Linked DNA regions of Diceros bicornis minor. The protein of the gene in region 1 interacts with the protein of each later gene in a pairwise test. Links are inferred from orthologs where the notes say so. Each region holds a gene or a part of one and is shown on either strand. Other genes may lie near its edges. The genes, in order: DVL2, ARR3, AP2M1 and POLI.

Region 1 (7,137 bases):
GGGCGCTGGGGCGGGGTGGGGGGGTTAAGACTGGCGAGTTGCGGGGGGGGGGGTGTAGGTTTGGTCGGCGAGGGTTAGAGCCTGGGAGTTGCGGAGGGTGAGTGGGCAGCAGCGGGGCTTGCTGTGGGGGGAGAGAGTAGCTGGTTGGGCGGGGGGGGGTGTAGAGTTTAGGGGTCCGTAGCCTAGTGACTCGGTGGTGAGTACGGGGGCGGAGGGGGGGGCGGCGGCCGGAGAGAGCTCGAACAGGGCCCGGGGGCCCGACGGGGAGCCCGAGGAGCTCGAGACGGGGAGGGGCCAAAGCCCCGGATGGGGGCGGAGGGACGGCGAAATTGTGGGGAGCGCGGTATGGGGGGGGCAGGTGGGGCCGCGTCCGGGTTAGAGCTCTCTGGTCTGTCCCGGACGCGAAGTGGCGTTGGCTGTGTGTGCCTGTGTGTGTTTAGGTGGGGTGAGGGGCGCGCCGGGCCTCGTGCTCCGGTAGAAGGGGCCGGAGGGCGGGGAGCGGTTCAGCGTGGTCATCCTGGACCCTGAGGGCTGGCGGGCGGCGTGTGCGGTCTCGGAGGACCCGGGGCGGTAGAGCGCGGCCGGGTAGGAACTCCAGGCTCTGGGCGCGTGTGAAGGACAGGGGCAGGCGGCAGCCCTGGCTCGGTCCGGGGAGCGGTATGGCGGGGTGGGGCGCTAAGAGATCCGAGTCGACTGGAGTCTAGAGAAACCGTGAGTTGTGGGGGGGGGCGGGGCGCCAGGCCTCCGGTGGGGGGAAGGGGAGCGCTATAGCGAGGCCTGGGAGGGCGCCGCGCCCAGGCTCCGCCCCTCGCGGGGCGGAAGGGGGAGCAGGGGCGGGTCCAGCGCAGCTGGGGGCCTGCTGGCCTGGCTGAGGTACCTGGGAGAGAAGGGGGATCGCTTGGGACCTTCAAGGTTTAGAGGTGGGGTTTTACACCGACTCTTGCCTAGTGCCTTGACTCAGCTTTTATTGCTTTCACAGATCCACCTCCGACCCTTAAGCCAGAGACTCAGGTGAGGTTTCCCTTACCTTTGCAGCCTAGTATTACTGCCAGACCCCCTCCCCCACCTTTGTCCGTCTCTCTTTCCCTTCTACCTTTTCCACATTCCTCACTCCAGGGACTGTGCCTTTGGGAATGCCCCTCTTACACTCCATGTGATACATGTTTCCTTCCTTTCAGCCACCAGAGAAACGTCGGAGAACAATTGAGGATTTTAATAAGTTCTGCAGTTTTGTCTTGGCCTATGCTGGTTACATCCCCGCTAGCAAAGAGGTAGGGACAGGAGGACAAGTGATATGAAGGGGTGTCCTAGGACTATAGAGGCGCTGTTGAGTAAATGGGACTGTATTACTTTAAAGGAGAAACCTACCAGGAATTATAAGACTAGGAAAATTGGAAACTTGGGTGGGAAAACTAGTGTCTGGGGCGGAGATGGGGTTAATAAAGCTAGGTGACTTGAGCGGCAGTGAATGGTCTTGGGGTACTGTTAATGGAAGTTGCTTTTGGATAAATTTTAGGAAGCTGAAAATGGCAACAAAGGAGGCTGTACAAGAACAGAGCTAAAGAAGTATGGTTCTGGTGTGGGAGATAAAATGTTGTGAAAGCACTGGGCACTGGGGAGATCGCTAGAATTTGAGGGCAGAGGTAACATGGAAATGTTCAAGTGGAGATGTTGATGGGAATTGGGATGAGTACAGTGAGACTTGGTGGTTTTGACAGGATATTTTGGGGTAGATCTAGTTCTTGGTTTCTAATCTGGGTTTGTAGAGGGGCTGAGATGACACTGGGCTGCCTGCTGACCCTGGTCTCTTCCCCTTTTTAAGGAAAGTGACTGGCCAGCTTCCGGCTCCAGCTCTCCATTGCGAGGTGAGAGTGCAGCAGACAGTGATGGCTGGGACTCGGCCCCTTCAGATCTCCGAACCATCCAAACCTTTGTTAAGAAAGCAAAGTCATCCAAGAGAAGGGCGGCTCAAGCAGGTCCCACCCAGCCAGGACCCCCAAGGTCCACTTTCTCTCGCCTGCAGGCCCCTGACAGTGCCACCCTGCTTGAGAAGATGAAGCTCAAGGACTCTCTCTTTGATCTAGATGGGCCCAAAATGGCATCTCCACTGTCCCCCACATCCCTGACACATGCCTCCCGGCCCCCTGCTGCTCTCACCCCAGTGCCCCTTTCCCAGGGGGACCTCTCCCAGCCTCCTCGAAAGAAGGACCGAAAGAACCGAAAATTGGGGCCAGGAGCGGGTGCTGGCTTTGGGGTGCTTCGGAGGCCTCGGCCAGCCCCTGGGGATGGGGAAAAGAGGTCTCGAATCAAGAAGAGCAAGAAGCGGAAGTTGAAAAAAGCAGAGCGGGGGGATAGACTCCCACCTCCTGGTCCTCCCCGGGCACCCCCTAGTGATACAGACTCTGAAGAGGAGGAGGAGGAGGAGGAGGAGGAGGAGGAAGAGGAAGAGGAGGAAGAGATGGCAGCAATGGTAGGGGGTGAAGCCCCAGCCCCTGTGCTGCCAACACCCCCTGAGGCTCCCAGGCCCCCTGCCACAGTGCACCCTGAAGGAGCCCCTGCCACTGACAGTGAAAGCAAGGAGGTGGGCAGCACTGAAACAAGCCAAGATGGAGATGCCAGCTCCAGTGAAGGCGAGATGCGGGTCATGGATGAGGACATCATGGTAGAATCAGGTGAGAAGTTTGGGACACCCAAGGGCAGCTGGGAGGCTGGGTTTAGGGGTGTTGTGGATCCAAGAGCTCAGGCAGAACACCAAACAAACCTTCTTTTCCCCAGGTGATGACTCATGGGATCTGATCACATGTTACTGCCGAAAGCCCTTTGCAGGGCGGCCCATGATTGAGTGCAGCCTGTGTGGGACGTGGATCCACCTCTCCTGTGCTAAGATTAAGAAGACCAATGTCCCTGACTTCTTTTACTGCCAGAAATGCAAAGAACTGCGGCCAGAGGCCAGGCGGTTAGGGGGGCCTCCCAAATCTGGAGAGCCCTGACATCGCAGGCTCTAGGCTGGAACTTCTAAATGACATGACTTGGGAACTGAGCCTCAGGGTCCTCAAGCCTATCCCCTGGAGCTTGGATATTGTCCCACTTCAAGGCAGGAATTCCTAAGGGAGGCTGGTTTGGAAATGAGTTTCTCACATTCCTCCCCTACCCTTCCTTCCCACCTTGTGGACTTGAACTCGGACCCCTTACATTTGGGGGTGGGAAGCTGCCTGGGTCCCTAGACACTTAATCTCTGTCCCTTGGGCCTGCCACCTCTCACTTTCTGGGCCAGGGTTGGAATTGGGATGGAATGGGACAGTTGTCTATAAAACTCTAGTGTAAATATAGCACTCCCGTCCCTCATCTTTTCTTCTGTCTCACTCCCCATTTATTCTATACCGGTTGTATTTTTAATTTTGGACTTCCCCTTTTGGGCATGGCAGCTCAGAGGTGGAGTACCAACCAGAGCCTGGCCCGGCAGGAGGGAAAACAGAAGGGTGACGATTCTCTCACTCACCTCTTGTTTTTAATAATATTGGCCAGCTGTTTGTACAGACAGCCTGCGTGTTGTAAATAAAGCAGAGTGGGCTCTTTTGTGTTTATAGCCCTCACTGACTGTCCTGCTTGGGAGGGAGGCTTTGGAAAAGCTGGCAGAAGACTGGCTGGAGGAGGGGCTGAAACTGACCCCCCTTTCAAGTCCGAGGTGAAAACGACTCTCTGGCCTTAATTGGTTTTGCCCCACCTCGCCCCTGTGTAGGATCCCCACAATCTCCACCCCCCACCCCCCACAAGCTCGCTCCAGCGGATCAGACTTGCTCGGAGCTCCCCGCCCGAGCTGGGTAAAGCAGGGTGGGAATCAGTTGCCTGCTCCCTGAGGGCAGAGACCAGCTTAGCCACGGGACTGGGTGGACGCGGGTGGGGACACATTTGGGGGCGGGGCCGGTGCGGGCTGGGAGACCGTTGCTGAAGGCAGTGATCACGTGGCGGGGGCGCTAAGAGGAGCCGAGTGGTCACGTGACCGGGAGAGGGTCACGTGGCGGAGGGCGTTACGAAGAGCGCGAGGTGGGTCGGCTTGGGTCACGTGACATGGGGAGAGGTGGGCGGGGCACAGGAGGGGCGCTCGCGGCGTCTGCGGCGGTGGCGCGCGGCGGCGGCTGAGTCCGAGGCTTTGGGTCGCACCCCTTGGCCGCCCTCTCCTATCCCCTCGACCGCCGCCTTCTCTCTTGCACCGCTCTTGCACGGGGTCGGTCCTGTACGCGCTCGCGCGTCGGTTTTCGGGTGTGCGCAGGCGCGGCGGGAGCGATTAGCCCGCTTGGGTGGGCGGCGGAGCCCGGGAGCGCGCGGGCGAGACCATGGCGGGCAGCGGCGCGGGGGGCGGTGGTGTCGGGGAGACGAAGGTGATTTACCACCTGGATGAAGAGGAGACTCCCTACCTGGTGAAGATCCCTGTCCCCGCCGAGCGCATCACTCTCGGCGATTTCAAGAGCGTCTTGCAGCGGCCCGCGGGCGCTAAGTACTTTTTCAAGTCTATGGATCAGGATTTCGGGTGAGCCCGAGGCCTAGACTGGGACGGCTGGGGACTGTGCTGGAGTGGATTGGTCAATATTGAGGGGCATAGGTCCATTCTGGGCCATGCTGGGGATTTGTGGGCTATAGTGGAGTAGATTGTGCTATGCTGGGGTAGATTGGGTATCACAGGATGGACAAGGTTATGCTTGGACAGATTGAGGCGCACGGAGCTGTAGGAGGACATACTGGGCTATACTAAACCAGATTAGAGAAGATTAGGCTATATTGGAATAGAATGGGGCTCACTGGTTTATTTTGGGATGTTCTGGACTGTGCTGAGGTGGATTCATCTATCTTTTGGTAGTTCAGTGCATTCTGAGCAGTCCTTTAGCACACAGGCTATGTAGGGATATTGTGGAATCTCCTGACGTAGATAGGGCTATACTGGGGTAACTTAGGGCGCTCTTGCCTATGCTACGGCAGGCAGGATTGTTTTGGGACACTCTAGTCTGTAATAATGCAGAGTGTGCTGTATTGGGATGTTCTAGGCTGCCCTGGAGTAGATTAGGCTATCTTGGAGAAACTTGGGCCATTCTGGTCTCTACTGGGTTGTATTGGTTGATCTTAGTTTTTGTGGGGGCCTAGTTTTTATTGGGACACTCAGTAGAGGAGCAGACAGTCTGTTGGGGTCTCTGCTGGTACAGACAGCTGTATTGGGATATTCTAGTCTGTATTGGTGCAGACAGCTGCATGTGGAGACATTCTAGGATGTGCTAGACTAGATTGGGCTTTCCTGGGGTAATTTGGGACATTCTGGGCTAGACTGGGACTTTAAGTAATGCAGAGTAAGCCCTTTTGTGTCTATAGCCTTTGAGACTGAGCAGTCTCTGTCCTCAAGCTCAGCTTTGAAGGCAGGCTGGATTAGGCTGGGATTGCCTGGGTTCTAGGAGGGCTGAACAGACTGGGCTCTCCCTAGAAAGGTTGTTGGACGTTGGGGAAAGTGGTACTGTGTTGGGAGTTACCTTGGATTTAAATCAAGGTTCTTCTGTTTGTCAGCATTTTAATTTGGCATAATTTATTTAATTTTTGTGCTTTGATCTCATCTGTGAAATGGAGATCATCAAAGTAAAATGCCTACCACAGGTACCTGGCAAATGATAATTGTCATTATTAGTACTGAGTCTGACTAGTCTATAAGCCAGGTTTGTATCCCTGTGGTGATACAGAATAGAACAACTTGGCAGGCTGGACTATGATGAGACTGGATTATGTTGTGAAGAATACTACATTATGCTGAGGCAGATTAGTAGTGCCTGGGCTGTGTCGTCGCTTTGATAGCAAATGGGATTAAGTTGGCATGTATCCAGGCTCCTAGAACCATATTAGGCTAAAGGGTTAATCAGACAGTATGTCCTAATTCAAGAGTGAGGATGTATGAGAGTGTGTGTTCAGGGCAGAGATTTTCATAGCTTATATATTGAGTCCTTTAGTCAACAAATATTTGTTAATGCTTACCAAGTATCAGGTACTTTGCTGTGAGGCTGGGATGCAGTGTTGAACAGAATAGGCATTAATGATTAATGATTTCCGGTGGTAGTTGAGAAGAAGGGACAAGTCCAGTCCATCGCAAGGAACCCATGGGGCAAATGGTCCCCAGGGCTGGGCTTTGGGGTCTGTCAGGTGGAGCCGATTGCTTAGTGCAGAGTTTTGTGCCAGGTGAGGCACAGGGGAGTGGGAAGCCCGGCTTCCCCTCTCCTTGAGAGCTCTCGGCCTAGTGAAGAAGTACCATTCTTTGGTCTAATGGATATTTTTATTTAGGCAAAGACAGCACATTTGGACTGCCCTCTGGAAGTGAGTTAGAGAAAACTAAGGAAAGCATAAGAGTGGAGACTTACATGAGGACCAAAGCCTTTTTTGGGAAGGTGTGTGAGGAACAGGTTAGAGGTTGAGGGGAGGCTGCCTGCAAGGCTCCTAAGGTCAGATAGATATTTTGGGCAGCTGGGGTAACCTCATGGGATGGCCTTTGAAATTGGACTGAGAGGTTTGAATCAGACTCAAGGAAATCTTTGGAGCAGCGTTGAGCCCCTGAGGAGGAGCTGGGGAGAGAAGGAGAAATATGGAAAGGGAATCTTTTGGAGATTTCTTAGGTCTAAGAGTGACGTGTTTCGGTGTAACAGAAGAGGACTTGGACAGGGTGAGAGAAAATCCACATCCTTGAGCTGGATGAGGATTGGGAGAAACTTGAATGGGGATGGGAGTCGGGGGAGCTAGTCCAGTCTCACGGATTTTTATCCCTTCTCTCGGCAGGGTGGTGAAGGAAGAAATTTCAGATGACAATGCCCGCCTTCCCTGCTTCAACGGACGGGTGGTGTCCTGGGTAAGGGGCTCTGGCCCTGAGGCCCCAGTCCCTCCTGTGTTGCTAAGCTCCTCCACGCCTCAGTCTGTTCTGTAGCACTCCTCCTGCTCAGTTGTTGGAGGTCCTGGCTCTTTGCTTTCCTACCTGTCTGGAGAGCCAGCTGGAGCCTCTCAGCGTTCTCTTTATGAGGTCTCTTCTGCTTGCTACGGCTTTTTTGTGCTTTTCTCCAGGCTCTGTCAGACCCTGTCCCTTTTTCTAGTCCTTTTCGTTACTCCCATCTCATATACCTT
Region 2 (7,413 bases), on another chromosome or scaffold:
AAAATCGCCTTAACCTCTCAGAATAAACAGTGTGGGTAAGGAGTCCAACTAGTTTTAAATACCAGAAGAACTCTGGGGTATAGCCAGTAAATTAAACAACTTATTTAAGACTCTCAATTACTCTGTATTTCTAAAACCTAAATCATTTTTTCACATTCCTACAAAACCTTCAGAATAATCTACAGAAAGAAATCTTTAGTTTAAAAATTGCATGTTGATCCAGGAGTAAGATATGTTTTTTCCTTTTATCCTAATCTTCCTTGTCCTTTAGCAGAGTTTTATATTATCATTTGACTTGCGTATATTTCTTAAATTTATTCCTTAGCCATTTTATACGTTTTGTTACTTTTATAAAGATAATCTTATACGCACCATATTTTCTAATATTTTTTTTTCTATCGAGGTGCATGTATTGATGTAAAATATAACTTACCCTATACCATTGAGTGATAAAGGCCAATTGTAGGGCAGGATGTGTGGTTGCGTGAATAAAGTGTTGTATAACAAAAATCTATCTGGAATCTCTCGGTATTATTTCTTACAACTGCATGTGAATCTATGACGATCTCAAAATAAAAAGTTTAATTTTGGGCCGGCCCGAAGCTTAGCTGTTAAGTGCGCGCGCTCCGCTGCTGGCGGCCCAGGTTGGGATCCTGGGCGCGCACCAACGCACTGCTTGTCCGGCCATGCTGAGGCCGCATCCCACATACAGCAACTAGAAGGATGTACAACTATGACATAGAACTATCTACTGGGTCTTTGGGGAAGAAAAAAGGAGGAGGATTGGCAATAGATGTTAGCTCAGAGTCGGTCTTCCTCAGCAAAAAGAGGAGGATTAGCATGGATGTTAGCTCAGGGCTGATCTTCCTCACAAAAAAAAAAAAGTTTAATTTCAAAACAGCAATGAGAGAGAAGTCGTAAATACCTAAGGTGGCCTTATGTTTGATTATAGAAACAAACAAAGTTGGGAAGCAAATGCAACAGATATTAATAGCAGTTATGTCTCGAATAGGATGTATAATGCTGGAGCTTTGATTTATCTTTTTGTTTGTATTTTCTGATTTTCAAACAATTAATAAGTATTATTTGTATAATAAACACAAATATAAATAACTTTAGAATAGATGTTGAATTAAAAAAAACAAGCTATTTCCTAGCACAAAAAAGGATGATTCTAAACTGCTAGAGAGCCAATAAGATCTTGGGCGGGGGGTGATGCCCTCCCCACATGCGAACAGCTGGATGTGCCAAAAACAATTCATCTGATTAACCCCCTCACCTCAGAGGTTACTGTATACCCTTCTGCCTCACCCCTCCTGATCTTTTTCTGTCTTATCCCTCATCTCTTTCATTTCTTTCCTCCCTCTGCTTCCTTCCAGCCACCTCTTTTCCTCTCCTTTTCATCTTCGCTGTCTTTTCCTTTCCTTTGTCCCTTTCCTTTTCCTTTTCTTTCTCTCTCCCTCTCCCACTTTAATTGGCCATAATTGAGAACCAAGGTGAATTTATTTGTTGTATCTTTTGAAAATTGTTAAGTTTGCCTTCACTGCAGAAAAATTAGAAAATACAGATGAAGGAGAAAGAGACTGTAATCCTATCACTCAGAGATAATCATTAATAATATTTTAGTTCATATTTTCTGTGCAAAACTATATTTTTATTTAAAAAATGCTATACTATAAATAATGTTTTCTAATCTTCTGTTTCTTCTATGTCAATATATAAAAATCTGTGAATTTTTAAGTTGCCTAGTACTATATTGTATGGGTGTACTGTAACATATTTAGCCAATCTTCAACTGCTGGACATTTTTTGCTATCATAAACAACCCTGTAAAGTACATACTTGTATATATATCTTTTCATACTTGTCCAATTATTTCTTCAGACTACATGCCTAGAAAAGGAATGAATGGTCAAAGGGTAGTCACACATTTTTACAGCTTTCTATTGCCAAATTGCCCTCCAAAATGTACCAATTAACTCGCTCTCCTGCAGTGTATGAGGCTGCCCGTTGCCCCAGTCCTTATAAACACCACCACTATCATTACTTTCAGTCTTTGTTGTATCTTTTGAATATAGATTAATTTCTCTTGTTCTTAATTTTAAAAGCAGACAATCTGGCTGTTTGATATTTTCATCTCTTAAAAATACTAAAATAAGTTGCTTTCTAGTAGTGTGTAGCTGTTGGTAGTTTTCTTTTTTTTTGGGTCAGGGCTCCTGATAGAAATAAGATTCTCCACCCCTGTTCGACATCTTTCCTTCCCTCGATCTCTGTCACTCTGCCCTTGGCCAGGTATCCCTCTATGCCCCATCCCACACTCCACGAGTGCATTAAAGAGGCTTTCCATTTGCCCCGGATCTTAGGTACCAGCTGCAAAGTATGAGTTCACTTATAACTGGCCAATATTCCCACAATTATCATCATCATCCACATTTATAATTAGTTTACAATTTCCAAAGGGATTTCTTATACATCAGTTCCTCACAACCATCCTATGAGTTAAGTTGGGCACACACGAGTCTGGGCTTTGGAATCAGACAGGCCTGGGTTGAAATCCTGGGCCGTCACTTAACCGCCCTGAGCTCATTTTCTCTACCTGTAAAGTGGAGATAATAATACTTCAGAGGATTGTTTTGAGGTCTAAATAACATATATAGAGCTCTTAGTGCAGTCCTATTATTGACAGGTGAAATAACTGAGGCTCAGAGAACTCAAGAGATTTGTACAAGTCATATTCAAGCCCAGGTATCCTGACCCTAGAGAATTATGTAATGAATAGCCTCTACCCACCACCTAGCTTTAAAAAGAATTATAGCAACAAACTGAAGATTCCATGTGTCCTTCCCTAATCCCATTCCCCTTCCTCCCTCCCACCTCCTTCTCTCCTTGCCTCCACCCAGGTAACCATTAGCCTGAATTTGGTGTTTATTATTCTCATGATGCTTCTATACTTCGACTCCATATTTATATATCTGTGAGCAACTTTGGTATTCTTCCATATGCTTTTTTTTTTGCTGAGGAAGATTCACTCTGAGCTAACATCTGTGCCAATCTTCCTCTATTTTGTATGTGGGTCACCACCACAGCACGGCCACTGACAAGTGGTGTAGGTCCACACCCAGGAACTGAACCCAGGCCGCCCAAGCAGATAATGCCGAACTTAACCACTAGGCCACAGGGCCAGCCCCCTGTTCTATATGCTTTTAAACTTTATATACACGGTATCAGATTGTGCATATCATTCTGCACCTAGCTTTTTTACTCAATAGTTTTCGAGACTTAACCATGTTGATACGTGGAATTATAGTTCATTTATTTTAAACTCAGTTTAGTATTCCATTATATGACTATACCACAACTGTATTACCCATTCTCCTGTTGATAGACATTTAAATTATTTCCAATTTTATGCCATGACAAACCTTGATGCAATAGACATTCTCATATCGATCTCCTTATAAACATGAGCAAGAATTTCTCTAAATTCTCTTTAGGTCATAAGATATGAACAGATTCAGTTTTACTAGATAGTGCCAAACAGTTTTCCAAAGTGGTTGTACTAATGTATGCTTCCACCAGCAGTGTATAATGAACTCCTATTGCTACACATCTTTACCAACACTTAGTATTGTCAGACTTTGAAATTTTTGACAATCTGATGGGTGTGAAATGTTCTCTCATTGTCGTTTTAATTTGCATTTATCTGATTATTAATGAGAATGGACATGTTTTCATATCTTATTGGTCATTCTGTTTTGTACATCTGCAAAGAGGCTATCCATATTCTTTGCATCCCTTTTTTTTGTTGTTGTTTTGTTTTGTTTTTTGTTTTGTTTTTTTTTTTGCTGAGGAAGATTCGCCCTGAGCTAACATCTGTTGCCAATCTTCCTCTTTTTGCTTGAGGAAGACTCGTCCTGAGCTAACATCTGTGGCAGTCTTCCTCTATTTAGTATGTGGGTTGCTGCCACAGCTTGGCCACCGATGAGTGGTGTAGGTCCACGCCCGGGAACTAAACCCGAGCCACCAAAGCAGAGTGTGCCAAACTTAACCACTAGGCCATGCGGCCAGTCCCTTTGCACACTTTTATACTGGGACATTTTTATTCTTGATTTGTGGGAGTTCTTTATATATTATGAATGGTAACCTTTTGTTTGTTATATGTGTTGCCAATATTTTCTCCCAGGTGTTTGCTTGTTTCATTGTTTATAAAGACTCTTAATGTAAAGAAGTTTTAAATTTTACTGTAGTCAAATGTATTAATTCTTTTCTTTATGGCCATATTGTTTCGATCATATTACATTGTCTCTCTATGTCTTCCTATGAGCCATTTAAGACCTCCTTTTCTCCTCAGGCCTGACAGGTCACTCTCTTCCTCCTTTGCCTGCAGTGTTTGTCATGTTAACATGTGCCTTTCGCTATGGCCATGATGACTTGGATGTGATTGGTCTGACGTTCCGCAAAGATCTGTATGTACAGGTCCTGCAAGTGGTCCCAGCTGAGGCCACCAGCCCCCAGGGGCCCCTCACAGTCCTACAGGAGCGACTGCTGCACAAGCTGGGGGACAATGCCTACCCCTTTACTCTGCAGGTACTGACCCCAAGTCCTGGGCAAGGTTTCCAGGGAAGATTAAGAGAGGAAGCTAAAGAAAGAGAAGAGGGGAAAGGGGTCCCTATTTCTTCTGTTTGCTGACCTCCTTCTGATCTCCTAGATGGTTGTCAACCTGCCCTGTTCGGTGACACTGCAGCCAGATCCTGAAGATACAGGAAAGGTGAGGTCTGGGTTCTGAGAAAGAGGGATAGACGGTCAGCGCTGGGAGAAGGACAGAGGGACAAATGGACAAGATTGAAGAAATAGACAATTAAAGGATGAGGTCAGGCATTTCCTTATAGGCCCATGAAGAAGGGAGGGATAGTGTTAGAAATGAGCTCTCTTTGCCCCTGCCCCTTTGCAGGCCTGTGGGATTGACTTTGAAGTGAAAAGTTTCTGTGCTGAAAACCTGGAGGAGAAAATCTCCAAGAGGTATTCTTTGGTCCTCTCCAAAATCCCTGCCTCCAACCTGTGTCAGGAAATAGATCTTGTTCTCAGGACAGAAACAGTGCTACTTCTAACCTCCATAGCACCATCATTACCAACTCAGATGCCCAGTTCTGATTCCCCTCTGACTTCTCTTCTTTGCTCTAGGGCAAGGGTCAGCAAACTTTTCTGTAAAAGGACAAAAAATAAATATTTAGGCTTTGTGAGCCATACAGTTTCTGCTGTAACTACTCAACTCCGCCAGTGCAGTGCAAAAGCAGCCACAGATAGAATGTAAATGAATGAGCATAGCTGTGTTCCAATACAATTTTATTTATGGACACTGAAATTTGAGTTTTATGTAATTCCAAACATCATGAAATATTACTTTTCTTTGATTTTTTTCAACCATTTAAAAATGTAATAACCATTCTTAGCTCGCAGGCCATACAAGAACAGGCAGCAGGCCAGATTCGGCCAGTGAGCCATAGTTTGCTGACCCATGGTCTAGATCCCTACACTGAGGGTCTAGAGGAGTTCTCTGAGGGAGGCCTTCCTCTACCTCTAACGTCCAAGTAAAGACTGGGTTATGGTGTTGGCACGGGAAATGTCTGTGGGTCCCAAAGCAGACATTCTGGCTAACCCCTTGGCCTCTACTCAGAGACTCTGTGCGCCTGGTGATTCGGAAAATACAGTTTGCACCCCTGGAGCCAGGCCCTGGCCCCTCAGCCCAGACTGTCCGCCGCTTCCTTCTGTCAGCTCAGCCCCTACAACTCCAGGCCTGGATGGACAGGGAGGTTTGTGACCCCCCCACTCCCTGCCCCCTGCCCTACAACCCCTCTGAAACTCTTTCTTCACTGATTTTTCTACTTGGGTAGACAGGGATGGGAGCCAGGGTGGCAATAGTGCTAATGAAATAGGAATTCTAGGTCTTGACCTGGGCATTCTCCCTCCAACCTTGTGATGGGCCTCTCCTCCTGCTTCAGGTTCACTACCATGGCAAACCCATCTCTGTCAATGTTTCTATCAACAACTGCACCAACAAGGTCATAAAAAAAATCAAGATTTCAGGTGAGCTTCTTTTCCTATCCTCCTGCACCTGGTCCCAAATCCACAGGTCTTTTTTCAAAACTCTGCCCCACTTACCCAGTCTGCATTCATCTAGGATTTCCCTCCAATGCAGGCTTACCAAAATATGTGTCTCTGTCCATGAGCACATTTGAGTGCATCATGCATAGTGTGCCCATGTATAAGGTCACTTCTGAGGGCAGTGAGTTGGGGTCTTGAGGATGACTGACTGATTATAGTCATGTGCTTTTCCTGGCTGTTCAGTTGACCAGATCACAGATGTTGTCCTGTATTCACTAGACAAGTACACCAAGACTGTGTTCATTCAGGAGTTCACGTGAGCTGGTGCTGGGGCCGGGGTCAGAAGAACCAAGGGGTGGGGTGATGGGAAGAGGGCCAGGGGGCTGGAGGCAGAGGAAGGGATTGGAGAAAGAAGGAAGCAAGTAACAGCCCAGGACTGAAGAAAGTCAAGGTGAGGGCTGACATGGAGAAAGGGAGGGACTCCCAGGAGAACTAGAGGGAGGATCCACAAGAGGATCATCAAAATGCTGAGAGAGGGAAGGGGCAGAAGGATTTCCCACCAGAGTGAATGTTCCATTCTCCACAGTTAGACATGCCAGGTCTCTGGGATACTCCAGTATATTCATGAAATTATGCAAGATACTCTTGGGAATGAAAGTACCCTTAGTCGGCAAGCCTAGCCTAAGTTCTTCTCTTCTCCTTTCAAAGGGAAACTATAGCTGCTAACTCCAGCTTCTCCAAGAGCTTCACGGTAACCCCACTCCTGGATGCCAACTGCCAGAAACAGGGCCTGGCACTGGACGGCAAACTCAAGCATGGTGATACCAATCTGGCCTCCAGCACGATGTAAGCTCAAATGTAACTCCCCATTCTCTATCCCCAACACATTCTGCATGCTATATATACAGGTCTAAGGTTTCACCTTCAATGAAGCCTACCTACATTTTTAAAATGTCCCTAGGCTAGTGTTCAGAGATCCCTCCAGGCCTGAGGGCTAACAGTAAGCTAAATAATGCCCATGGGACCAATGGCAGGCTTAGGTCATAGGCAACAAGAAAGGAAAAAATGGGGCCGGCCCTGTGGCTTAGTGGTTGAGTGCACGCGCTCCGCTGCTGGCGGCACTGACGCACCGCTTCTCCAGCCACGCTGAGGCCGCGTCCCACATACAGCAACTAGAAGGATGTGCAACTACGACGTACAACTATCTACTGGGGCTTTGGGGAAAAAAAAGGAGGAGGATTGGCAATAGATGTTAGCTCAGAGCCGGTCTTCCTTAGCAAAAAGAGGAAGATTAGCACGAATGTTAGCTCA
Region 3 (6,858 bases), on another chromosome or scaffold:
CAGGGCGGCATGAACCAGAAGAGCCTAATCTCATTAGAGCTGCTGAGGCTAGGCCATGTCCTTTCAGTCAGTAAGAACAGTGGAATGCAGGGTAGGGCAGAAGGCAAAGTAAGGCTGTGCCTCCTTGTTAAGATCTGAGGGATCCAGAACAAGGAACTATTCTGGGTCTACTCTGACAGGCCAGAAAGGGTAGCATGGCCTCCCTGCCCTTCCCTCAGTGACCTGCAGAATGCCTCAGGCTTGCTCACAACCTCTCCTCCAGGAGTAGCCCAGAGGAACTGAAAACAACTGAGTCAGCAGCCTGCCTCCTTCTGAGAAAGGGAGTGGGAGAGGATTCGGCAGCCTGGAGAGGCTTTCAAGAGAATACAGTGAAGGCTCTCACCATGAGAAGACTTAGATGGATTAGTACCTCCAGCCTGGCCACTAACTCCACCCACTGGAGACTGATCTCCCTCCTCCTCAAAGGAGGTATCAACCTGCCCAAGCAAAAGCATTCATCTCCAGCAAGCAGGTCTATCACTAAGGGAAACAGAAGACAGGAAGGACAGGAGTCCCTAAGACTATGAGGGCCATGCCATTTCCACAGGTCCCACCTAGCGGCCAGCAACTGGCTGCCAAGCCAACACCACCGGACCTAATGGGAACCAGACTGTACTAGCTGAGCTTCCAGGATGCAGCAAGGCGTAGGGGTGGTCCAAGTCAAGCCTCTGGTAGGGACCTGGTCCTACATGCTGGGGAGGAGGGCTGAGGAGGGTGGGGGCACAGCTGGCTCAGCCAGGGGACTCACCCGATGTCATCTCGGTAGACCCGGGAGATGAGCACCTCCCCCTTGTGATTATAGATGAATAAGCCTCCAATCATGGCGGCAGCTCAGTCTCCGCAGCCCATCGCTCTGAGAACAGACCTAAGACAGGCGGGGGCAGGGTAAAGGAAGGCCTCAGAAGCCTTGCCAACGTCCCCTGTGGGGCTGTGCAGGTCAGTGGCTGGGCTTTTTTCCTGACTCAACCTTTCAGCAAGTGACCCTGCAGCCCTCCCAGGCAGGCCCCTCCCCTTAGCCAGGCTCCAGTTCCTGTTTATCCCATCCTGGAAGGGAGAAAGAAAGGGAGAGGGACTGGAGCCCAGGACTCTAAGGCCATTTTGACCCTCCCTTTTCTGGGCTGAACCCAGAGAGTAGCCCCCTCCCCCTCTCCACAGAGCAGAGCTGAACTCAGTAGGGATCCTTTTCTCCTTTTCCTGTGCAGACTCTCACCCAGGCTCTAGCCAGTGAGTCACTGCGAAGGCCTGCCTGCGGCTGCAGGAATGGCGGTAGAAATTACTCCAACTGGTTCAGGCCTGGGGCCCCCAGGCACAGCTTTAGGAACACCCAGTCTCTCAGGCTCCACTACCCTTCTGAAAAGGCGGCAGGGCCTGAACCTCCAGCCTAATTCACAGAAGCCTAAACATTCCAGGAAAGGGTGTGGAGCGTGGGGAGAGGAGGAGAGAAGGGAGGCCTTAGGCCCTGACATGGACCCAGGACTGTGGCTCCAACCTCTCCCAGACAATCAGATAAGCAGGCAAAAGAGCAGAGGAGAAAGGCCTCAGCCCTGGCCCACTACACTTCAATGACCCAAGCTACTTATTAGTTATTTTTGACTACTCCCCTTTCAAAAAGGGAGGTTCCCTTTCAGCTCCCAAGTACAATAAAAATAAGGAGGGTCGGGGGTGGGGGGAAATGCAAGTCCTTAAAATTAAGAGATCCTTCCAGCTGAAATTCTGTGATTCCAGACCCACAACATAACTCACTTCTGGCCTGAGAGCCTATAAGCAAGGGGCAGAATGCCTCAATTATGCAAATTATCTGGGTCAAACTCATTTAGATTGTTTACAAGGAGAAAAAGGGTTAATTTTAATTTAGTTCTAGATTTCTTGGATTAGCTCTGGTATTAAGTTCGCAGGCGGGGAGTTTGGCAGACTTTTCTAAACTGGAAAATAAAGTCTATTACTGTGGCCGTCAAGGTCTCCCAGGCGCAGTGAGGGGTCTCCCAAGGTGGTGGACACATCCCATCCCTCAGTCGCAAAGAGGCTGGGAGAGGAAATGCAAAATGGAGGTTGAGCCGGGGGGAAAGAACCAAGTTCACAGGTATCAAGTGGTGGGGAGCTCAGGGCACAAGAGAAGCAGAGATGGGCCCCAGGACTGGAATGGAATATTCAGTTAAGGGAAAAGACTGGCAGCAATAGCCAAGCCCTATGCTCAGGTGAGCCCAAAGCAGCGACAGGCTGGCGGGGGCACCTGGAGAAAGCTTCCAGTATGGCAAAGGTCAAGGCCTTGAAGAGGAAACACGGCAGGGAGAGATTGACAGTGGTGGAAAGCTGGGGAGACGGAACCTGTTTTGGGGTTCAGGTGTAGAGGCATAAGTGGGCGGCCTTTTCACCCTGGGGAGGAAATATCGCCGAAAAAGATGGTTCCACGGGGTGCGGGGGCTGTCGCAGGCCTGAGAAAGAAGAGCCACGGGGTGTCACTCTACTGGGAGGAGGGGGTGCCGCAGGGTGGAGGCTTGTCAGAGTCCAAAGAGGCGGCACAAGGGGGTGTCACTGTCCTGAAGTGGGGGAATTGTCCTTGCGCTGAGAGGAGGCGGCGCAGAGGGGTAGGGGGCTGTCACGATCCCAGGGAGGGGAACGCCGCGCGACGTCCCTGCTCTGGGAGGATTCCAGTAGGTCTCCCTCTCTCGGGAGGCGCAGGGCGGGTCAGGTGGAGGGCGCCGCTCCCCGCCCGTGCTGCAACCGCGCCCTGGGCGCTCCCGCCCCGCCGTCAGCTCCCTCCGGATCTGAAGGCTGAGCCCACTCCCGGGTGTGGGCAGCTTTCCGCGCAGCGCAATGCAGAGCAGCGGGGCAGGCGTCCTCCTTCACCCCGTAAGGCCAGATCCCCAGCTCACCTGGCGTCCGCGGCCCTCTGCTCGGCCCGCCCGGCCACTCTCTGGATCCCAAGATGTCCGCCCGCCCCCTGCTCGCCTGCCCGCTGCCTCGGCTTTCACCGCAGTGCCGCGGCCCCGCCCCGGCCTCGGCTGCGCGTGCGCATCTGCCTCCCGCGCAGACTACAAATCCCGTCAGGCTCCTCGGCCTCCTCGCTTACAATTTTAAGCTCTCTAGGTTTAGCAGAACTACAACTACCGACGGGCTTCGAGAACCTTCGGGGGGTGGGTAGGAGTGCCCTGGGAGTGAGTAGGAGTGGCTTTATCTAGCCTTACCCCAAATACACATCACAGCGTAGCTGGTCCGCTCACTTCATTTTCCCCTCTGAGCAGTCTGGGAATTGTAGTGTGTGGCGTCCCTCCTCTTCCTGTTTTAGTATTTCGGAGAGTCTCAGAGGATTAGTGGCCTTTGTTGAAACAAAACTGTTAAGCATTCTTTTTTTGGTGAGGAAGATTGGCCTTGAGCTAACACCTGTTGCCAATCTTCCTCTTTTTGCTTGAGGAGGATTGTCCCTGAGCTAACATCTGTGCCAATCCTCTCTATTTTGTACCTGGCAAGCTGCCACAGTATGGCTTGATGAGCAGTGTGTAGATCCACACCCAGATCTGAACCCTCAAACCCTGGGCTGCCCAAGCAGAGCGCATGAACTTAACCACTACACCACCTACCAGCCCCCAACTGTTAAGCTTTTGATTGCTGTGGGGACTTTTCTGTCTTCAGAGTCCAAGGACTAGCTGTCCTCACATGACACACAAACACAAGACTTGGCAGTAGAAGTGTTTGTGCTGAATTTACTGCTGTCTAACACCACCTGTGATTCTCCCAAGCTTTTTTCATCACTTATTTGTTCCAGACATGAGCCTTTTCCCAGGGGTCAAGACCCAAGCTAAGAGGCAGGGAGTAAGGAGGCAAGTACTTGGAAGAAACTAGCTAAAGCTTTTCAAGAATATGCCCAGTGTTCCACCTCAGCTATACCTGCGTGACTGTGAGCTCTTCAAGGCCAGGACCTGTGTGCCTTCTAGTGACAGGCATATATGTTGCTTAGAAAACTTTTGGCAAGTTAAATTTAACTGGACATGGGATTTGAAATCCCCACTCTGATGAACAGAGTTAATCTCCACAATCAAGCTGAGGAGACAGCCAACTCTTGAACGTGAAAGGCTTGTGTGGCTGTTGCAGGACCTGAAGAAAATTTGTGGGCTCTTCTCTTTCTGTAGGGAGATATAGCCTGCTGCCTTCCTTAGGCAGGGCTGAGCTGACATGAAAGGAAGGGCAAGAAATAGCAAAATGGGTTTCAAGCCATATTGTACCTAGCATCCTCCCACCAGGAACCAGGATGTGGCAGGATGAAGATCTGGTCTCCTTCAAACCATGTTCACAGTGGGAAGCCATTAAGTGACCAAATACAGGCACTTCTAATCCTTGAACCAGCATTCAGGGCTTCACTCCTCCCTTTATCTTCAATACATACCCTAAGCCCTTACTAATTTAGAGTAAATAATGGTGATAATAATGATAATAATAATAATAGCTACCATTTATTGAGCACCTATTCTACTGTGTGCCAGGCACTGTGCTAGGCACTTTTCGTACAATATCTAATTTAAATCCTCACAACAACCCTGTGAGGTAGGTATTATTATCGTCATTTTACATATGAGGGAATTGAGGCTCAGAGAGATAAATAACTCTCCTATCACACAACCGAAACGTAGTAGAGCTGGGATTCAAACCCAGAACCACCTGACTCCAAATCCCATGCTCCTGTGAACTAGAGTAGAGGCAGAGGAGAAAAGAAGGGCCAAATTCAAGAAAGATTGTTAGAGTGGAATGGATATGATACGCTGACTAGTAAGATATGGGAAGGAGTTTAAGCCCATAAATGTTTCTAGCTGGTGAGCCTATGTAGTGTGGTGAAGGTACCCAGGATTGGAATTCAGGAGGAACACACTTGGTGGGGAAATGAGTTGAATCCATGTAGACATGTCCCTGGATTGTCCAGTGGGTGATAATAATACAGATCTAAAGATTGGAGGGAAGTTGAGGCTGGAGATAATATATTTGGGAATCACCAGCATATCAGTGGCAGTTGAGGATGGATGATACCATTTGGGGAGTAAATAGAGAGGAAAGAGAAGTGGACTGAAGATAGAACACTGGGAGCACCGACACTGAAGGCATGAGCAACAGTGGAGGAATTCTCAAGAGAGTTGGACAACGTAGAGTCAGAGAAGGAAGAGAAGTACAGGAGGCAGCCCTAGTAGTGTCTAGAGGAGGCCATGATCCAGGCCGGCAGCAAACCCAGAGCTTCCAGAAGGCAGGCAAGACTGAGTCAGACTTCCAACACAGCCCTCACTCAACAGAAACCCCAGGAAGTATTTGATAAATGAATGAATGCCAAAATGCCCTACCCTGGTTTGCCCCAAAGCCTGGAGTTTAGGACTTCATCTCACTCTTGACAGCCAGTCCTGAAAATATGAGAGCCTAGGTGAGCCAGGTGAATTTATAGAAGAGGCTTAAAGAGAAAGTCATGTTCTGTTTAAATTGGAGAATAAGGTAAATAATAAAATTTGGCATTCTGTCTGGAAGTTCCAGAAGTCCCCTTGCCCACCATTGCTCTGGGGTATCATGGTGATTGTGAAAATAGGGAAGGGTGTGGGGTGCCGGAGAGTCCCCTGCTGAGCCTGGCCTGAGACCTGGCTTAAGGGCTTTATCCAGGTAGGAGGATGATGGAGACATGTGGGAGGCTTGAGGGCTACAAGGAAGGGAGAGGGATGTCAGGGGACCAGCCCCACGACCTGGGAGAGGACAGGGAGAGAGAGTCCAGCCCTCTGGGCAGGGACCAGCCCTGAGGCTTAAGCAAACTTGCATAGGCACGTGTGTGTGTGTGTGTGTGTGTGTGTGTGTGTGTACATGCACGCTTGCACGTGTGTGAAAGACAGAAAGAGAGAGAGATCATATTCTGGAAAGGGGAACAGAGTCTCCCATACATGGGCAAGAGAGTGTGGGGACCTTCACAGAAGCCTAGTGACTCAGCATGTTGAAGTGTGGGTGTGGGGGCTGAATATCCTCCGATATCCCCTGAGGAGCTCCTGAAGCAGGGGTCCTGGTCTCCTCGGAGGCAGGGCCTCCCCTCGCGGGGGGTCACAGAAAGTCAAACAGCCCGAAATTCTTGGCTGCTCCAGGCCCAGGAAAAATAAGGAGAGGAAAAAAGAAAGAAAAGAAATGTTTCAGGCCCAGAGGTGAGATGAGCCTGCTGGTTAGTAGGGTTAGGGGTCTGAAGGAACCAGCACACAGGGCAGGCATAGGGGCGCGGCAGGGTCGGGGGGAGGGGAGAGTAGAGATGCTCTCTGGAAGCCACTAGCAGCTCAGGCAACTTGAGGGGCCTCCTGGGCTTTTGGTAAGGGCTGAGCGCAGGCAGGGATAGCATGGATAGTCACTGGAGGTGACTCCAGCCCTGGGCTGCAGGACTGAGGCAGCAGGTGGGGACACTTAGGAGGAGAGGCAGATGAAGCAAGTATTTTTTTGGTGTCAGTATTGTGTGGAAAAGTCAGGAGATTGGCACACATGCTCGAGGGGATGGGATTAATAGAGGGAGGATGTCGCTGAATGAGTGGTGGAAGGGAACTGAGGGGGAGAAGGAGGGGACAAGGGGGTGAGCAGGGCCTCAAGGGCACCGCTGGGTTGACTCCTGAAGTGTGTGCGGGGGAGAGGGAAGTAAGGAGCAGCACCAGCAAGTCGGCTCCCAGGGACACGAAGGACCCTGGGAAGTCCCGCGCAGCGGTTAGTGGGCAGAGGGACAAGCTGGGGCAGGGGGCAGGTTAGGGGCTGCGGTGGCGATCGGTGGGTGCACCCCGCCCTCGCTGCGCCCAGCGAGCAGTTAGCGCGCCTGGATTTAGTTCCGTTTAT
Region 4 (7,807 bases), on another chromosome or scaffold:
ATTAGGTCAAGGTGAATCTTCTTCAGCAAAAAAAAAGATAAAGATAACATTCCTATAGAATTTTAGAAGGTTAAATTTGTCCTAGGGAAGGGGAGTATCAAACTCCTGAAGAAGGATAGAAAGACATTCACTGCAGCAAAAAATCAGAAACGTGTCCATCAATATGGAGCTGGTAAAACAATGCATCCATTAAAAAGAAGGCAGTAGATTTTTGTACATGGAAAAGAAATGATGATCAAGAGATACTAAGTGAAAAATATGGTGAAGAAGAGTCTGTATAGTATGATCCCACTCATGTGAATTAGAAATGATGATCACTATGTCTACCCTATATTAAGTATTATAAGAAGTCTGATGAAGTGTATCAATATATATTGTTAACAGTGGTTAACTCTGTTAACAGTGGCTATCTCAAGATGCAGTAGGGATTGTGGGGGGGTTTCACTTTATACCTTATCCCTGTTTGTCTTACTAGAATATCTTAAACAACGGATGAGAAGAAAAATTTCTTTTTATCAGAGGCACAAGCAGTACTTTCAGGATTAATAGGTACTTTAATGAAGTCTTTGAATCAACTTTAAGAAATAAGTCCTATAAATATAAATATTTTCCTTTATAGAGAGTTTACATTACACTCAGACCAGGAAAATGGAGATTATTGACTAAATTGAAATTATTAACATTTCCAAGATGACATTGCAACCATATTTATTCATTTCCTTCAAATTAACATCAAAAAGAAGTAAGTTTACAAAGGTTTTTCTATGTCATTTATTCAGCAATGCCTCTCACAATGATTTTCATAGCTTGATAGAGAAATAGATATAGAAATTTATTTGTGAAATAAAATAATTTTCTTCTTAAATTATGCTTTATGAAAAGACTGTCAAAGCATGGTCATCTCTAAGCACCAAGATTATACATTACGTCTATTTTCTTCTTACCTCCTGTCTATATTTTCCAAATTCTCCATAATAATCACGAATCACTTTTACAATCAGAAAAAGAGGTTTTTTAAAAAAATTGTTACATTAAAGTTAGGTGTCCATACATTTAACACAGTATATCTAATCCACGTCAATCTGCTTGCACTTTCTATATGACATCAAGTAGTTATCTTTTTCTCAATGACTGAACTTTGCAGACTTTATTTACAAACTGGGAGCAAATGACTTGTATTGTGATCAGATTAGTCCCCACCTCTCTCTATCCAAAATGACAAGGCAAAGTCCATTGAGCACACCCTGACAAGCAACATTTTAAATGTCGTTACTAAAATGACTATGCAGGCCTCTACAGAACCACAAAGAAAGGTCAAAGCAAAGAGAAGCTTACTGTTAGAAAAACTCCAGCCTGTTACACCTTCTCTTAGCCACAAACACATAGTACGCAGCAAATACTTTTAGGTTACACTGAGAAAGTTTGAAACTGCAGCTTTGGTGTGCATTGTGATGTGCAGAAAAAAGGGAGAGAAAAATAGGGGTTTCTTCATGACGACTGAAGTTTTTATGCAAAGGGTTTGAGATCCTTGGATGAAAGTTACTAAGTAAATACTGCATGACATGCACATTGTACAACAGCATATCATAATTATAGTTCGCTTTCAACCATCTGAAGCCTTTCGGTATTTTCTGGTTTTAGCTTCTAAGCCTTGTAAATTATTTCTGACTCATGAGCCTTTCACCCTAGGGGCAACTCACAAGCTCCATAAAAGTATGGATATTTTTCTTAAATCTCTTTTCCAGCAAATGCATTCATTTGCTGTTTAGCCTCAGAATGTACATTCCCACAGTGAAAAGCAACTAAATAATACTTGTCTTCCCCTTTTATATCCTCCTTTTTCTAAAAATGTCATATTTATAATTAAAAGCACATATCCGAAGACCAATTTTTTATTACAACTGAGGATCTTAAGCTGAGGAGGGAATTGGGAGCAGGATGGTGTAAATACTACTAGGCCAGAGTGCCCCAACCTTGGCCCAATCGGCACCTTGGGCTGGGTAATTCTTTGTTGTGAAGGGCTGTCCTGTGCATTGTAGGATGTTCAGCAATATCCCTGGCCTCTACCCACTAGACGCCAGTAGCGCAGAGCTCCAATCCTCCAGATATGACCACCAAAAGTGTCTCCAGACATTGCCAAATATCTCCTAGGGGACAAAATGGAAGACCAATTGAGAAGACCAAAGACGATATAAAACCAAACCCTTTGTGCCTTTGCCAATTCAAATTGTTCCTTTGATCCCATGATCAACCTCTACCTAACCTACCACCAGCCTAAAACACAGACAGTCACAAATGCCCTCACATTCTTCATGCCAAAGCCCTTAAACATTGTCTAGAGTTCTGCCTCTGAACCATATGTGGCCAACTTGGCTAGGAGGAGAGAAGCAGGCACTGGTAACTGTTTCCCACCCTTCACTGACATGGGTGTTCATGCTTATCACTTTTAATGTATGTAAATTCATAATGTCTTGACTTCTGAGGCTCTAAAATGGCCCCAGTTTCTTTATCTGCTAGCCACACTCTGCAACTTCATGCTCCCTCATGAATATTGTTTCAACCATAATTTAATTAAATATGTTTGTTCTACCTTGCAATTGTTTTTCTCATTTGGCACTTAAATATACAATATGATCCAGGCTCAAAATATTTATTTCCTGAAATTATCCTAGATTAGAGCCAATTAATTAAAACTGGGAGAGGGGATTTATAGAATTTAAAAAACCCAAAAAACAAAAAACGCTTTCTCTAATTCATCCCACAACAAAGCAACACATATTAGCTCATATAAATTTTCTTATTATGCCTCCTAATATAGTCAAGGGATGTTTATTCTTCCTGCTCCAGGTTGTCTGGTGTTTGAAGCACCAAGGAAAATGGGCAGAGGAAGTGATTTCCTCTACGGAAGAAACATTATTAATGAATTCTTCCCTATGGAAAACTCTGAAAAGTGGATCTATCATTACTAGATTTGTAATCTTGAGTAAGCACCTTAGTCTCTGCCGGCCTGTTTCACCTTTGGTAAAATGAGAATGGTGATACCTACCCTCTAGGGCATGTTGAATGAGATAATCTGTTTTAAGCTCTTAGCCCTGTGCCTGACATACAGGTGTTTAAGAAGTCATTTTCTATGCCACTTCCCTTTGTCCCCAGTACCGGTTAAATAATTTGTGAGGTTCAGTGCAAAATGGAAAGGAAGGGTCTCTTATTCAAAATTATTAAGAATTTCAAGACAACAGCAGAACATGAAGCCATGTCTGGGGCCCTTCTAAGCAGCTCTCTGTTATGGCGTAGGTTATACACTCATAAAGCCAGCCCGGCTTACTCCCCTAGGGTTTTCAAGGTTCTATTTGTCTATCCTTCTACTAAATTAAAAGCCACTCTTCAATTTCATAATTGACAGGGAAATAAATGCAACTAAAGAAGGCTTGATTATGTGTGTTGTTTTTCAATGCTGGCTCACTTTTACTCAAGCTGTTGAGTGTTAGTGAGCCCAGAGCTCTTATAAAGGAGCTGTTTTCATTTGCCATGGTATTGTAGAGGTGTGTATCATTCTCAACATGGAGGAATCAAAAAAAATACTTTAGTTGTCTACAAGTAATTGGACCCTTGAAGATAGGCCAAGAGGCACTTAGTGGCCAAAGAGGTACTTAATTCAAAAGGTCAAAAGCTCTTTATCTAGACTTATCAAACAGCATTCACAAAGAAAGCAGCATTGTTCTAAATCGCTGTTTTAGATCCTAGACTGGACACTTTTGGGGAACTGGTCCAGATGTCTAAGTGTAAAATACCCAAAGAGGAAGACTTGGTCTCCAAACCACTGAGCCCCAGGTCTGCCTGTTATTCCCTCTCCTTTATGGATGCATCAACATGTCCTTTAAAGGATTTCTCAATGTTCTCACATCCTATTTATAAGAGCAGATCCTGTAAAAAAACAAAATGTGTGTGAATATATACATGTATACATATACATACACTGCCGCACCTCCAGGCACACAAGGTATCTTAACAGAAGGCAGAGATTTGACATTTATTAAGCACCTCCTATGTGCCAGGTGTTTTATATACACTGGAAGATTAGAGTATGTTTTCATCCATTCATTCATTTACTCTCAACACCCAAGACAGCTTTTTTTTTTTTTACAGTGGAGATACTGAGGCTCAGAGCAGTTATGTAACCTGCCCCAAATCACACAGTTAGTAAGCTGGAAGATCTGGACTGGAGATTTTATGACCTCAAAGCTCATATAATATCAAAATCCTATTCAGTTTAGATGATTAAAAATCAGGGGTCCAATTTGTCACAGTCTCTTTGAATCAAACAAACAAAATGCAACAAATTTCAACATACTTGCTAATCTTATTCGTGTATATGGCCGCCTTGCTCTTACCATAATTTTCACCCTTTCCCCCACTCCCACTACTATAAATCGCTCAGCATCTTACGGTTAGCAATTTTGCTAACAGTTGATCGGGAGAACAGGATGGCCTCTCAGCAAAGATTAAAGGTTAACTTTAATTCGTGGTCTGGAACTAACACCGAAGACCTCAGGAAAAAAACGAGCTGTTCGGAATGACAACTCCTCACTTCCGGCCTCGACTGCGCGGGAGGGAACTTGCGCACGTGAGTCCGAAGGATTCCCAGCCCGCGCCGCCCTCCGGGTAACTGGCTGGTCGGCCCGGACGGCGCAGGCGCCAGGGCCGGAGCGGCTGGGGCCGGTCGGCCCGCGGTTTCCCTGGAGACCGGGCGGAAGCGGCCGGAAACTGCGCTGCGGTTGGCCGCGGCTGGATGGAGACGCAGGGGGTGGAGCCTGAGGAGGAAGGCGGCCGCGACCAGGAAGAGGACGCGTCTCGGGCCATGGAGCGGTTGGAGGCGGGGGCAGCCGGCAGCTCGCCGGAGCCTGAGGAGTCCGACGATCTTCTTTGGTGTAAATGAGAAGGGCGGGGCGGGCGGACACCCAGGGCGGCGGCCGCGGCCGTTGGGGTGTGACGGGCCCCGCCCCCCTCGGTTCCTTTCCGTCGTCCGGGCTCCGTCGAGAGAGCTGCCCTTCATTAGTGTTTTGTGGCTAAGACCCCGAGCGGGACAGCTTCGCCTAGTAGGAATAGGGTGGGTGCGTCAGTGTGTTCGTGGAGGGTGCATCTGTGGTGCCTTAGACCGCCCAGTGAAAGCCTAAGAAGCTCCCGGGCGGGTTAAGGTGCAGAAATGGAGAACCTTGTCGCCCTCCCGGCACAGGTTGGGGCCTGGCCTCAGCCCGCGCTGGAAGAAATGGCTCGGAACCGAGGACGAGGCACGTCTGCAGTGGCCGCCTCTGCGGTGACCCACTTCCAGCCCGTGGGCTCTACTTTGTACCACCCAACCCCAGCGCCTGGGGCCGGGGCTCTGCTTTCCTGCACTTTTTTTTTTTTTTAATTGGAATAATTTTAGGTTTAGGGGTAGCTTTTCCTAACGTTAATAATCTTACAACACCACGGTACATTTGTTAAAACTAAGAAATTAACGTTGGCATAATACTGTTAACTAAAGTGCCAGCTTTATTCAGATTTTACCAGTTTTTTCCACTGATTTTTTTACTGTTCCAGGATCCAAACCAGAATACCACATTGCATTTAGCCTGCCTTGTTAACTGGTGTTAAGAGCTGGAATCCTCTCTGTCAACCCCTCGCCCCGCCATGGCATGAACTACTTTTAAAATCCAAGAAATATTTACTTATTCTTTCAATTTAGCGAATATTTATTGGTAGTCTGTTGTATGCCAGACACTGTTCTAGGAACTGGGAATTAAGCGCTGAACCAGATAGTCCTGCTCTCATCTGAGAGCTATATACAGTCCCCTGGAACCCGTAGGTTCTGTCTTCTGCTGTTTTGTATTTCTGATTTTTTTTTTTTTTAAGCCTAAGGACATGCCGCTTAGAATAATTTTTGTTGGTTGAAATCAGCGTTTAAACTTGTCTGCCCCTTCCTATTTACTCTGAATTTTACTATAAACTTCTTGGTGGTAGGATTACCTCTTGCATCTTCCATTATTGATCAATTCCTGAAATTTATTACTATCCTGAGAAAAATACAGTGCACAAATAAATGCTAAATAAACAGGACTGAAGACCCTACTATAGATGGAGTTTCTCTCATGTTTGTAATTTTTAGATGCTTTGACACAAATAATAAATCCAGGAAAAAACTTTTAAAGTCACTCTGCATTCTTCTTTCTCAATTACCATGTTTTAAGGAATGGCCAGTTGCTCAGAGATGATAAACAGCCTGAATATATTTTTGTATTTTTTTGCACATTGTGCATGCAGTTCATGATCAGCTGGAGCCAGCAGGAAGTTCTTCATCCAGAGTCATAGTGCACGTGGATCTGGATTGCTTTTATGCACAAGTAGAAATGATCTCAAATCCGGAACTAAAGGGCAAACCTTTAGGTAATTCTAGTCATTGATAATATTTTCCTAGTATGATAGGATTAGCTACTCATTTATTGTTTATTATGTTCTGATTTATTAACCATACTAAGAAAGATTTGGAAGCAGTTCTTAAGGTGTTTTATGGATGATCTTTGCTTCACTACCAGGTGTAAACTTTATAAGGCTCATTTATTAAATGGTGAATTTGATGGAGGTAGTATGGCCAACTGAACAAATGAACAGAACCCATAATAAACTTGTAGTCTTTCTCAATGTGTGAAATTTTATAATCCTCTTATCTCAAAAACAGCCTCTTTTATAACATTTTAATGGAAGCTTTCAGCTGTCCTCCCATTTTGAAATTAACTCTTGAATTGTGTAATGTCTGACAAAATAGTTGGATTTTGAACAGGACCTTAAATATTAAGGCAAGCGTTCCATAAAAGCACAAGTATCTTTTTAAATAAAAGGCAGAGAAATTTTACGTTGAGGATTTACTTATTAGTATGTTAGCTTGTTTTAACATTTTTATTATATCTTAAATTGGAAAAGTAATTTAAATTTCCAAAAATTTCTTTTATGCGTGTAGTAAGGATTTATCTTTTAGTATAAGCTTCAAGAGCAATTTTGGTTCACCTGCTGCTACCCTCTTGTGCCTGGTTTGGTTCTGATAAATCCCAATTCAACCCAGCCTAGTTGATTTACTAAAGAACAAAGGGATGACTAGTTTTTGGTACACCAAGGTCAGTCTAGGATCTTTAAATTTACCTAAGGATGTCAAGGAGTTAGGATTAGGGGGCCTAAGTTTTCTCCTAAATGTGTTTCTAATTAGTAGCATTATAACACAAGGTGTTTTGTAGATAATGCTTAATAAAAAGATATTGTGTAATTAAGACTGAGGAATGAATGTGTATTGGGAAGTGAGGGATGTGATGATGAAAGTTTCTAGGAGAAAGCATATGTAGACTTTCATCTATACTCAATAAATATGACTACGTAACTTGGGCTGGTGAGATATAGTGGTGAGTCCATATAATTCAGCATTAAAAGACTACTTTTTTACTTAAGGACGTTACCAGTCTGACTTTTTATGTAGTTCACTGACAAATCTTAAATTACTTTTGACTCAATGTTCTATTTTTGGGCATAATCTGAAATCTTTATGTGAAATAATGTTTCTTTGTCTTGTTTATATTATCAAAATTTTAGAAACAAGTGTCTTACGTTAGGGGAATGGGCATAACATTTTTTTCCTTCTTGTTTGTGTTTTACATATTTTAAATGAGTTACTTTTATAGAGGTAAACAAGTAGTCAACTTGTGTAAAGAAAAAAGCAAATAATTTTAGCAATCTTAAGTCACTAGTAAACTAGAATTTGATCCAGTCTGTAGAAGATCGTAAT

The links.
Region 2: the proteins of DVL2 (region 1) and ARR3 interact in a two-hybrid assay, tested with the Homo sapiens proteins (2 studies listed by BioGRID and IntAct). The two-hybrid records come from large-scale screens. The link is inferred for Diceros bicornis minor from reciprocal best matches to the Homo sapiens genes DVL2 and ARR3.
Region 3: the proteins of DVL2 (region 1) and AP2M1 interact in a two-hybrid assay, tested with the Homo sapiens proteins (2 studies listed by BioGRID and IntAct). The two-hybrid records come from large-scale screens. The link is inferred for Diceros bicornis minor from reciprocal best matches to the Homo sapiens genes DVL2 and AP2M1.
Region 4: the proteins of DVL2 (region 1) and POLI interact in a two-hybrid assay, tested with the Homo sapiens proteins (2 studies listed by BioGRID and IntAct). The two-hybrid records come from large-scale screens. The link is inferred for Diceros bicornis minor from reciprocal best matches to the Homo sapiens genes DVL2 and POLI.

What each region holds. Positions count from the first base shown.
Region 1 is NC_080757.1:11,049,229-11,056,365, forward strand, and holds the start of DVL2 (segment polarity protein dishevelled homolog DVL-2), read left to right. Parts: upstream 1-4,116; 5' UTR 4,117-4,334; coding exon 4,335-4,528; intron 4,529-6,798; coding exon 6,799-6,868; intron 6,869-7,137. Other genes in the region: PHF23 (PHD finger protein 23), read left to right, coding at 980-1,011, 1,179-1,271, 1,823-2,672, 2,776-2,990.
Region 2 is NC_080781.1:63,647,884-63,655,296, forward strand, and holds the start of ARR3 (arrestin-C), read left to right. Parts: upstream 1-4,393; 5' UTR 4,394-4,395; coding exon 4,396-4,587; intron 4,588-4,708; coding exon 4,709-4,768; intron 4,769-4,951; coding exon 4,952-5,019; intron 5,020-5,674; coding exon 5,675-5,810; intron 5,811-5,999; coding exon 6,000-6,084; intron 6,085-6,345; coding exon 6,346-6,418; intron 6,419-6,810; coding exon 6,811-6,948; intron 6,949-7,413. UniProt on the Homo sapiens protein: May play a role in an as yet undefined retina-specific signal transduction. Could bind to photoactivated-phosphorylated red/green opsins.
Region 3 is NC_080754.1:39,500,169-39,507,026, forward strand, and holds the start of AP2M1 (AP-2 complex subunit mu), read right to left. Parts: upstream 3,015-6,858; 5' UTR 2,913-3,014; intron 905-2,912; 5' UTR 862-904; coding exon 788-861; intron 1-787.
Region 4 is NC_080755.1:46,122,869-46,130,675, forward strand, and holds the start of POLI (DNA polymerase iota), read left to right. Parts: upstream 1-4,789; coding exon 4,790-4,928; intron 4,929-4,934; exon of another isoform or gene 4,935-5,107; intron 5,108-6,300; coding exon 6,301-6,423; intron 6,424-7,807. UniProt on the Homo sapiens protein: Error-prone DNA polymerase specifically involved in DNA repair. Plays an important role in translesion synthesis, where the normal high-fidelity DNA polymerases cannot proceed and DNA synthesis stalls. Favors Hoogsteen base-pairing in the active site.